Linked DNA regions of Mus musculus. Each later gene encodes a partner of the first gene's protein in a complex. Links are inferred from orthologs where the notes say so. Each region holds a gene or a part of one and is shown on either strand. Other genes may lie near its edges.

Evidence for each region.
Region 2: Gatb (region 1) and Gatc share a complex: the UniProt entries of both Homo sapiens proteins name them as parts of the heterotrimeric GatCAB amidotransferase (AdT) complex. The link is inferred for Mus musculus from reciprocal best matches to the Homo sapiens genes GATB and GATC.

Annotation. Positions count from the first base shown.
Region 1 is NC_000069.6:85,572,538-85,576,994, forward strand, and holds the start of Gatb (glutamyl-tRNA(Gln) amidotransferase subunit B, mitochondrial precursor), read left to right. Parts: upstream 1-1,591; 5' UTR 1,592-1,606; coding exon 1,607-1,782; intron 1,783-3,326; coding exon 3,327-3,477; intron 3,478-3,483; exon of another isoform or gene 3,484-4,457. UniProt on the Homo sapiens protein: Allows the formation of correctly charged Gln-tRNA(Gln) through the transamidation of misacylated Glu-tRNA(Gln) in the mitochondria. The reaction takes place in the presence of glutamine and ATP through an activated gamma-phospho-Glu-tRNA(Gln).
Region 2 is NC_000071.6:115,338,217-115,342,763, reverse strand, and holds the start of Gatc (glutamyl-tRNA(Gln) amidotransferase subunit C, mitochondrial), read left to right. Parts: upstream 1-1,602; 5' UTR 1,603-1,614; coding exon 1,615-1,922; intron 1,923-4,547. Other genes in the region: Triap1 (TP53-regulated inhibitor of apoptosis 1), read right to left, coding at 6-89, 1,347-1,493. UniProt on the Homo sapiens protein: Allows the formation of correctly charged Gln-tRNA(Gln) through the transamidation of misacylated Glu-tRNA(Gln) in the mitochondria. The reaction takes place in the presence of glutamine and ATP through an activated gamma-phospho-Glu-tRNA(Gln).

The DNA.
Region 1 (4,457 bases):
CCTTGAGGACAAACTCGAATCTGGCTCGAGTTTCTGCGGCCTTGTGGGAGAGCCTAAGCCTGGCTCAAGTTTTGAGACCTGTCTCAGTCACTTCCATATTGGGGTGACTCAGCAAGACCTGTTTGGCCCTGCCTCTGCCCTGTCGTTGCTGATGTAGAGCTTTGCCATTGACCCTGTCAGTCACTACGCCATCTTACCCCACCAAAACCCGCCTCCCTATGTTCCAAACTTATATAAGCAAGAGGCTGACTCCATAAAGTTGAGTTCCTGCTTCAACAAGACTCCCAACTCTGTGTGTTTCTTTTGGGCCGTTGACACTCGCCATCCTGCTCAGCCCTGGAGAGACCCCAGAGGGACAGGGACCTCTCTCCTCTGTCCTGGACCTGTCAGCAAGGAGCAGGTACAGAACCTCCAACTCTCGATCAGGTCCCTCAATCTCACCTTGCACATCTCCCAGAAACATATGTTTTACTTTACCCTTCACCACTACCCCAATCTGTTATTGCGTTTCTAAAGAACATACCCTCTCAACAGCCCCCATTTGTCAAATACATTCACTGCACTGTACTACTTCATATATTCTTGAGGCGCCTACTCTGTACTCTGGAAATACTATGGTAAATACCAGACAAGGATCCATTGAAATCAAAGATAGCTGTTAAGACTATGTTGACAATTAAAATCAGGCAATGAAAGTAAGAACTATTGTAGACTAAGTTTTCAAATAAAAAAAAAAATCACCTGGAATTTCAACAAGGGATATGAAAGGCTCTGCTTGGTTTTGCCTTCCTGAGGGTGGGACCTAGCATCTCTACATGGTAGGCAAATGCTGTACCACTGAGGGATATGCCCAGTCCAAGATGAGTTCTGAAGTCAAACAACAAAAGAAATCCATTGAGGTGATGTCTTTTTTTCTATCAAAGCTTTCTAACACAAGAAATTGTTTCAGATGTTGGCTAAGAAAAATAGTAAGTAAAAAGCACATAAAAGTTTAAAAATTTTTTTCGGACATGAAAACAATTTTTAAAACGTTTTTCTGTATGGTTCCTCTCCCTAAAATGTCAATTCTTTAAAATATAACATCCCCAAAGTCTTTCTTTCTAGCATATCAATGCTGCCTTATTATTGAACTAGGTATATATAGCAGGCATGCAAATAAGTATCAGTTGAAATAATGCACAAATTTGTGTGCGAGGTGTGCGAGCAAGACAGAAAAAATAAAAGCGTTGGAGGGTCCAGGAAGCCTTTGTGGTAATGTTAGGGTCATTTGTTTCAACTCACGGGCTTAAGCTGAGTATAAAATCCTTGGTGAGGCTTCCTTGCTTGGCGCTCCCTCAAAGAGCTGTCAAAGTACACACAAGCTCTACCGCCACAAAGCTCTCCAACTCCCCGCTAGGAGGAGTCACACAGGACCCACCAACCTTCCCACTTCTTTGGTTCCGCCCCTCCCTAACAAAGTTCCGGCAGCCTTTGAATTGGGTTGCTGGGAACAGTAGTCTTCCGGTCAAGAGCTACACGGGTTGTGGCGCATTGCCAGAACTACGCTTCCCAGGGAGCCTCGCGGCAGAGGGAGGGTGGGTCACCTGACCGGGACTTCGGCGACGCTATGGCGGCGCCCATGCTGCGCTTGGGTTTCCCTGGAAGACGCTGGGCTTTAACATGGCTAGATGGCGGTTCCCGCCACCGAAGTGGCTCTCAGACTGGGCCCACATCCAACTGGGCTAGGAGACAGAGTTCAGTGGCTCAGCCTTCCCTCCACACGGCTCAGAAGCCGAGGAAAGGGTATATCTTCTTCGTACTTTTGCCTGTCTCGTGGAAGTGCAGAACGAAGATAATGGCCCCGGCAGCCCAGCCTGAGGGTTTTAGTGTGCTGGAGGGTGGTCACCTGTGTTATGGGCAACTGAACCTAAATGAAAACACAAAACCAGGCCTGCCACCTTCAGCCTCACACTTAAAACTTCTGTCTTAAAGTAGGCATATTTGGACAACGTGCGAATGTAAAATAGCGTTTCCTCCAGTCGTCTTCTCAGACAGAAGACTGGAATACTTTGCCCTACTAACTCGTGTGGGGTCTGCGACACTAGACTCTGGCTCGTATGTAGCGGGCATTTGGCGTCACTACAGGCTAGCAATAATTTAAAGACAGAAAATAGCCGTTGTACAAAGCCCCAGATAGGAGAGGTCTTATTAGTCAGAAAGCACTAGCTATCTGTGGTTTTATTGTGGGCATATTTGTCTAGACCCCAGGAGGATGTTAGTCGACTGACGAAATCTTTCCCCGATTATATAAAGAATTGCTTATGTTGTACAGCAGTTAGTTGCTTCCGTGTACATGATTTAAAGCTTCTTTTAAAATACAGCAACAAGGCAATTTTTAAAAAAGTTTTGTTTTGTTGAGGTTGGCATTCTTTTTAGCATTTCAGTGAAGAAGAGAAGAAAAATGTCCAAAATCATCACCTTTCTATTCTCTTCATAAACTAGACTATTTTCTTTCCACGAAATGAAACTGCAGAAATACTTCGATTAGCAATTAGAACATGCAGAATTTCTGAATTTCTTAGTTTATTTCCTCTCTCTTGAAAGCTTTATTATCAAATTTTAGAAAGAAGGAATTAATCTTTTCTCATTCCTTCATCTGTTGAACTGCTTAAAACAAAACTGAATGCACATGAATTAAAATCTGACTAATATAGAAAATGTCTAGGGAGAAGTGAAGACTAGGAACATACATAGGAATAGAGAATTTAATTCCCCAAAGAGAGTGGAGTACTGGCTCACCAGAGTAGGGCTGTTCAGATAAGAGACAGTATATCACTGTAAGCATTTACAAAGATTTGCTAGCAGTGAAGTATGAACAAATGAAAAAAATTTAAGTTTAGATCTCAAGAACTGGATGGGACTTGGTGGATGAAAACAAAGTTTCCTCTAATGGTTTTCTGTTCTTTTTCACGGGTTTTAAGGAATACCATATTGTGGTAGTCTATGGTATCTGATCCTGCTTCTGTAGCTACAAGCTCTTAACAATGAACTCAAAATATGGGCGATAATTTATTCTTTAGCCATCATTTCTCTAGAACTAGAATCCTGGCATTTGTATTAAACCCAAATAATGATAAGATAAGCTTTTATTATTTACTGAGTCATTTACTTAGTGTTTATTAACTAATAAGGTACATTTAGTTTATTCACCAATAAAATGACACATTTTAAAATATAAGCATATAAAATTTTAATTTAAAACACAAGATTATAATTGGAAATATAGGTTTATAAGAATTTATATTTAGCGACAAATGTAACGTTTTAACCATTTTCCTTCCCTTTAGTGAACACAAATGGGCAGCTGTAGTAGGACTGGAAATTCATGCACAGATTTCCTCCAACTCTAAACTCTTCTCTGGAGCTCAAGTGTGCTTTGCAGCACCTCCAAATTCTCTGGTTTCTTATTTTGATGCATCTCTGCCTGGAACATTACCGGTAAGGTGTTTTATACTGTCTGTTTACATTAGAAAATGTTTATGTCATAGTGAATATAGATAAGGAACTACTTGCTTAGGGAATTTTGCATGATTAGGGAATTAAGCATGATGCATTAATTGTTTATAAAGACATGTCTCTATAATTCTGTTTCTAAATCTGAGTGTATTCATAGCATCGATTCACTCCTTTCACAAATGCTTTCAAATGCCTATCAAATACCAGATGCTGATAAGAACTGTCTAATGCAGACAAGCAAAGATCTTGCTTTAGGAGGAGTTTAAAGGTGGACAGAGCTGATGTCTTACAAACAATTAGAGTACAATATGATAATTCTTGCAAAAGCAGTGTGCAAAGAGTAATTTTGGAACCCAAAGGAGGGACATGTAATTGAGCAAGAGGAAGTATTGTGAGAAATTGTAGTGGTGTATCTAGTTAAGGAGGAATGTCTGGAATAAAAACGTGGTGTCCACACTGAGAAGTCAAGTAGGAGTTAGACTGATACATGGAGGAGTGGGGAGGACCCAAGAAAAGAACATGTAGTATGTGATTTTACAGTGTAAGAGCAATGTGATCTCAGTTATTGACATCTAAGAAGCAGTCAGTAATGGAGCGCTATAGTATAAAAGCGAGTTGGTTATCGATTTAGCTACTTATTTTCACTTGATCCTAAGAGGCAACTGAGCCAGCATCACCATCAGCAAGACTTTTAGTGTGGTCTTTTTAAGGAATGAGTTACATTTTGAAGAATAAGATGGAAGGAGCACTGTAAATATTTGAGCTAGAATGTGGCTCCCATTCTGTTCAGGAATCTTATATTGTTAAATGGGAATGGAGTTTCCATCTTCAGGAGCATGTGTAGACAGGGTTATGATGATGAGTATATCACAGACAGGGACTGTTAGGAGTGTGTTCTGTATTCTCAGATGTTTAAATACAAGCGAAGGCTGATCTACCCAGGCTGTTGTCAGTGCCTTGCA
Region 2 (4,547 bases), on another chromosome or scaffold:
GCAGGTCAAGAGGAGTTTTCAGGCTTTTCTTTGCCATGGCCCATGAACTCCAGGCCTTCAATAGGAATCTCTTTCTCCTTGATTGCTTTCTAAAGGAGGAAGAAAATGCACTATCAGTCCATGATAGCTTGCAGTCCATGTTTTGTGACAGGTGTAATGGTACAGAGGTAAACCAGACTGAACTGGACGGGCTTGAAACCCACCATTCAAGGCATGCACCACCACTGCCCAGCTGGGCACCCTTTTTTTGAGGCAAGGTCTCATTCTGTAACCCTGGCTATTCTGGGACCCACACACCCTGCCTGCCTCTGAATCCTAGGATTAAAAGTGAGTACGGCTTAGTCCTGTTTTAACAAAACAGTGCCACTGTACAGACTGTAATGTAAGTCCTGTGTGGTATGAACACCTGCTCTTGGGAGGTGAGGCCTGAAGGTCAGTTCAGGTGCCTATCTCTATCTTAGTGACAGTGTTCACTCCGAATCGGCTCTGTGACCTTGAGTTACCATCCCTGTCTGAGAACTGACTAAAGGTAGCTTCTGGAATGGAGAGGTAGTTTTAGGTTAAGTTTGAAGTGCTGGTCTGAAATCAAATCTTACTGGCTACAACAGGTAATTGGCGGAGGAAAACAGAGCAATGAAAAGATCGCAACAAAACAGGCGACCTCTGCAATGCCTTACCTTAGGTCTAGAAAACTGTGAACACCATCCACTCCTAATAACAATGAAATGACGCACCACCAAAATAAGCAAGGTCATCAGACTCTAGTTCCTTTGAACCATTCACTTCCTATTTCTGACTGCTAGTTTTTCCATGTGTAAAATATAGATAATAGAAAAAAATAGATAGATAGATAGATAGATAATAGAACGCCTTGTCACCAAGACTAGTGACCTGAACTTTATTCCCAGAACCCATATAAATGTGAAAGGAGTAATCTGACTCCCGGAAGTTGTCTCCACCCTTATTGCAGACGCGAACACATTTTTTTTTTTTTTTCTGGAGACCGGGTTTTTCTGTATATCCCTGGCTGTCCTGGAACTCACTCTGTAGACCAGGCTGGCCCCGAGCTCAGAGATCCGCCTGCCCCTGCCTCCCGTGCGCTAGGACATTAAAGGTGTGCGCCACCTCCGCCCGGCCACGCCAATTTTTTAAAGATACGGATGATAGCTACTTGCACGTTTGGAATGAATCCCAAATAAATGAGCAATAACAACAAAATACTAATGTACTCTGTATAAAGCAAAGTACCGCAAAGGCATCCCGGTGTGTCAAGTGGAGACAGCCTGGCGGTTTCGGGGGATGGCCGAGGAGGGCAGGCTGCTGCGGCGAGGCCGGGCGAGACTCACCTGCACGCACTGCTGGTAGCGTTTGAAGAGGTCGGTGCACGGGTCCCCGGAGCCGTCCCCTTTGAGGAACTTCTCAGCAAACCAGCGGTTGAAGCACTGGTCGTACTCGCGCTTCATGTCAGTGCAAGCCTCCCCGACGCTGTTCATGGCGGTGATGGCAGCTGCGGTGACGGCGACGCATTCTGATGTCGTCACACACCCCCTCACCCCCACCCCGCGCGCGCGCCGCCCTACCGTCTGTCCCTACGGGGGCCGAGAAGCAAAAGAAATGTGGTCACGGGCCGCGAGTGTGCGATTTCGGGCCCCGCTGGACGCGGGCCGAAGCTTTGCTTCCAAAGCGAATCCACAGGGAAAGGTCCAGGCGGCGGGGCTGGGGACCCAGGCTCCACGTCTCGTCCCCCAGGGCAGCGGTCGCGTGTCCCCCGCGGTAATCGAGCATCTGGAGCGACTGGCGCTGGTGAACTTCGGCAGCCGCGAGGCGGTGGACCGGCTAGAGAAAGCCATCGCCTTTGCGGATCAGCTGCACGCCGTGGACACTGACGGTGTGGAGCCCCTAGAGTCGGTACTGGAGGACAGGTAAACTCCCGGCTGCGGTCTCGGACCTTTGAGGCTGTTTCAGGTCCTTTGCATAATTGGAAATTTGTCCAGTCTCCGCGAGGATGGCTTCACTCTTCCCCTAGTTCATTATTGATCCTGTCACTCTCGTTTACAACCCTCTAGTCTTCTCAGTCTCGATGTAAATAGGAACCAAGTCCGAGAATCCCTTACTTCAAAGAGCCCTTTACCCGCCCTCTCGGGGGTGCTGTCCCCTCAGTACCCTCCAGCCTAGACTGGCTTACAAACCAGGTTTATTTCCTTAAAGTGTTTTCACTTGCCTTCCTGAGCATCTGATTAAATATCTGAAGAAGTCAAACACTATTTATATGTATAACCTCAAGTCAGTTCATATGCTAATTACGAGATATCCAAATAACAAGTTATGGCTTTTTTTTTTTTTTTAAGACAGAATCTGGCTAAAATTTCGCGGAATGGCTTTGAACCCAAGGTTATCTTGCTGTGTTACCACCCATTGCATTGGTTTCATGAAGTCACTGAAATGCTTTGCAAAGTTTAAATCTTGTTAGTCTCCTGTCCTTCTCACCTTCGGGTCTTTGATCTGATGCTCAGATCCAGAGAGGTTAACACTATTTGCCTAATATTACCCAGTAATTCACATCAGATACCTGATGTCATTTTCCCACCCAAGATCTTCACGACACGTGCTCGTGGTCTTCAGGTCCTCAGGTCCTCGGCTGTCACAGCCCCTCCCCATCTCTCCAAGCTAACACTGTCAAGTTCTTTCAGCTTCTTGACTTCTCCCTCCCTGTTACTTTTTTCCCCACAATTTTCAGTCCTTGCTTTTTACCAGCTCCTTATCCCACCTACTTCTCCTCTCTTAAGTTGTCGACTGCCATTAATTCTTTTATTCCTTTATACAGTAAAAAATATATGGTTCTACTGGTATTCAAAAGCGCTGCTAATCACAGCATATCTACTTAAATGTTAGTTCTCTGCCTTCCCCCTTCTGTTTATCCAAATAGCATGAATCATGTTTGGATTTTTTTTTCTTTTGTCTAGCACTGAGTAAATACTTGGGAAATGCTCAAATAAACATCTCATTAATTTATTTGGGGGAGAGAATAGAATTAAAGAGCCAGCAGTGGTGGTGGTGGTAGTGGGTTCAGCGGGTAAGGGCAATTGCTACCAATTCTGATGATCTTAGTCTGCTCCTTAAGACCCACATGGTGGAGGCAGAAAATAGACTCTAACAAGTTTTCCTCTGACCTCCCCAGGCACACTATAGTACATACCTCTGCCACATACAAAATTTTAGAATTGTAATTTTTTTCAAGAGTCAGGATTTCCTGTCTTCTAGGAGAAACTAAAGAAATGCAGTTGCTACAAAGGGAGGAGTCAAAAACAAACAAACAAAAAAAAAAGACAAGAAGTATTTTTGTCATGGTGTGGATCAAATTTGAGCTTGTCATTCAGTGGCCTGAATTTCTTACCATAAATTATGTCGTTTTAGGTTAATGAACCCGACAAGTCATTTTAATATGACATTTATAGGACTTCAAAAAAATAGGCCTCATGAATCCCAGCATCTCAGGCCAGACTTGAATGTGCTTTTAATCTTTAAATGTATGTGCCTGCAAGTCTATGCCTATGTGTGCAGGAATCCACAGGTTGGAAGGGGGTGCCTGTGAGAGCTCCCAGAGCAGTTTCAGGAAGTGTGAACTTCCATGTTGGTACAAGGAACGAAACCCAGACCCTCTGTAATAGCTAAATGCTCTTAGCTCATGAGCCATCTCTTGAGCCCCTGACTTGTTTTTTGTTTGTTTGGAGACAGGGTTTCTCTGTGTAGCCCTGGCTGTCCTGGAACTCACTTTGTAGACCAGGCTGTCCTCGAACTCAGAAATCCGCCTGCCTCTGCCTCCCGAGTGCTGGGATTAAAGGTGTGCGCCACCACGCCTGGTGACTTGAGTGTTTTAAATGCTTGTCTGAACTCAAAACATCCTAGTGATCCATAGGTGATCAGCAGTCTTAGGCAACAGCCATGATTGCAGCCAAAGCCCCGACTGGCTAGTAGAAGTCTGTCTACACATTTACAATGTATTATTTGGGTTGATCTACAAAGCCTTAGTGTGGCAGTGCCTTGGGCTAGGAGTTTGTGTCCAGTTATCTTATACAACTTATATGACTTCTGAGGTAGAGTGCCAGTTTCATACAAGAAGCAGGCTTAGAATTTCACAAGAAAAGCCAGGACCTGGGACTCAACCCTGTAACTCTCAAGTAATGCTGTGACAGGCCATGTAGTAACTCCTAAATACCCCTTTTGCCGTCTTAGCAAATCCAGAGACCAGCTTCACTAACATCTCACTGCAGCCAAATACTTCAACACTTTATTAAAACAAAAACTAGATGGCTCTGTGGATAAAGGCACCTGCTGCCAAGCCTGATGATCGTAGCTCAAACCCCGAGTCCCACGTCACATGGTGGAAGGAGAGAACCGACTCCTCCAAGTTGTCCAGATCCCCATATATGCACTGTTGCGCGTGTGCACACACACACACAAATTTTAAAAACAAGTTTTTCTTTTTTAAAAAAAATTTTTTATTTTATGTAAGTACACTGTAACTGTCTTCAGACACACCAGAAGAG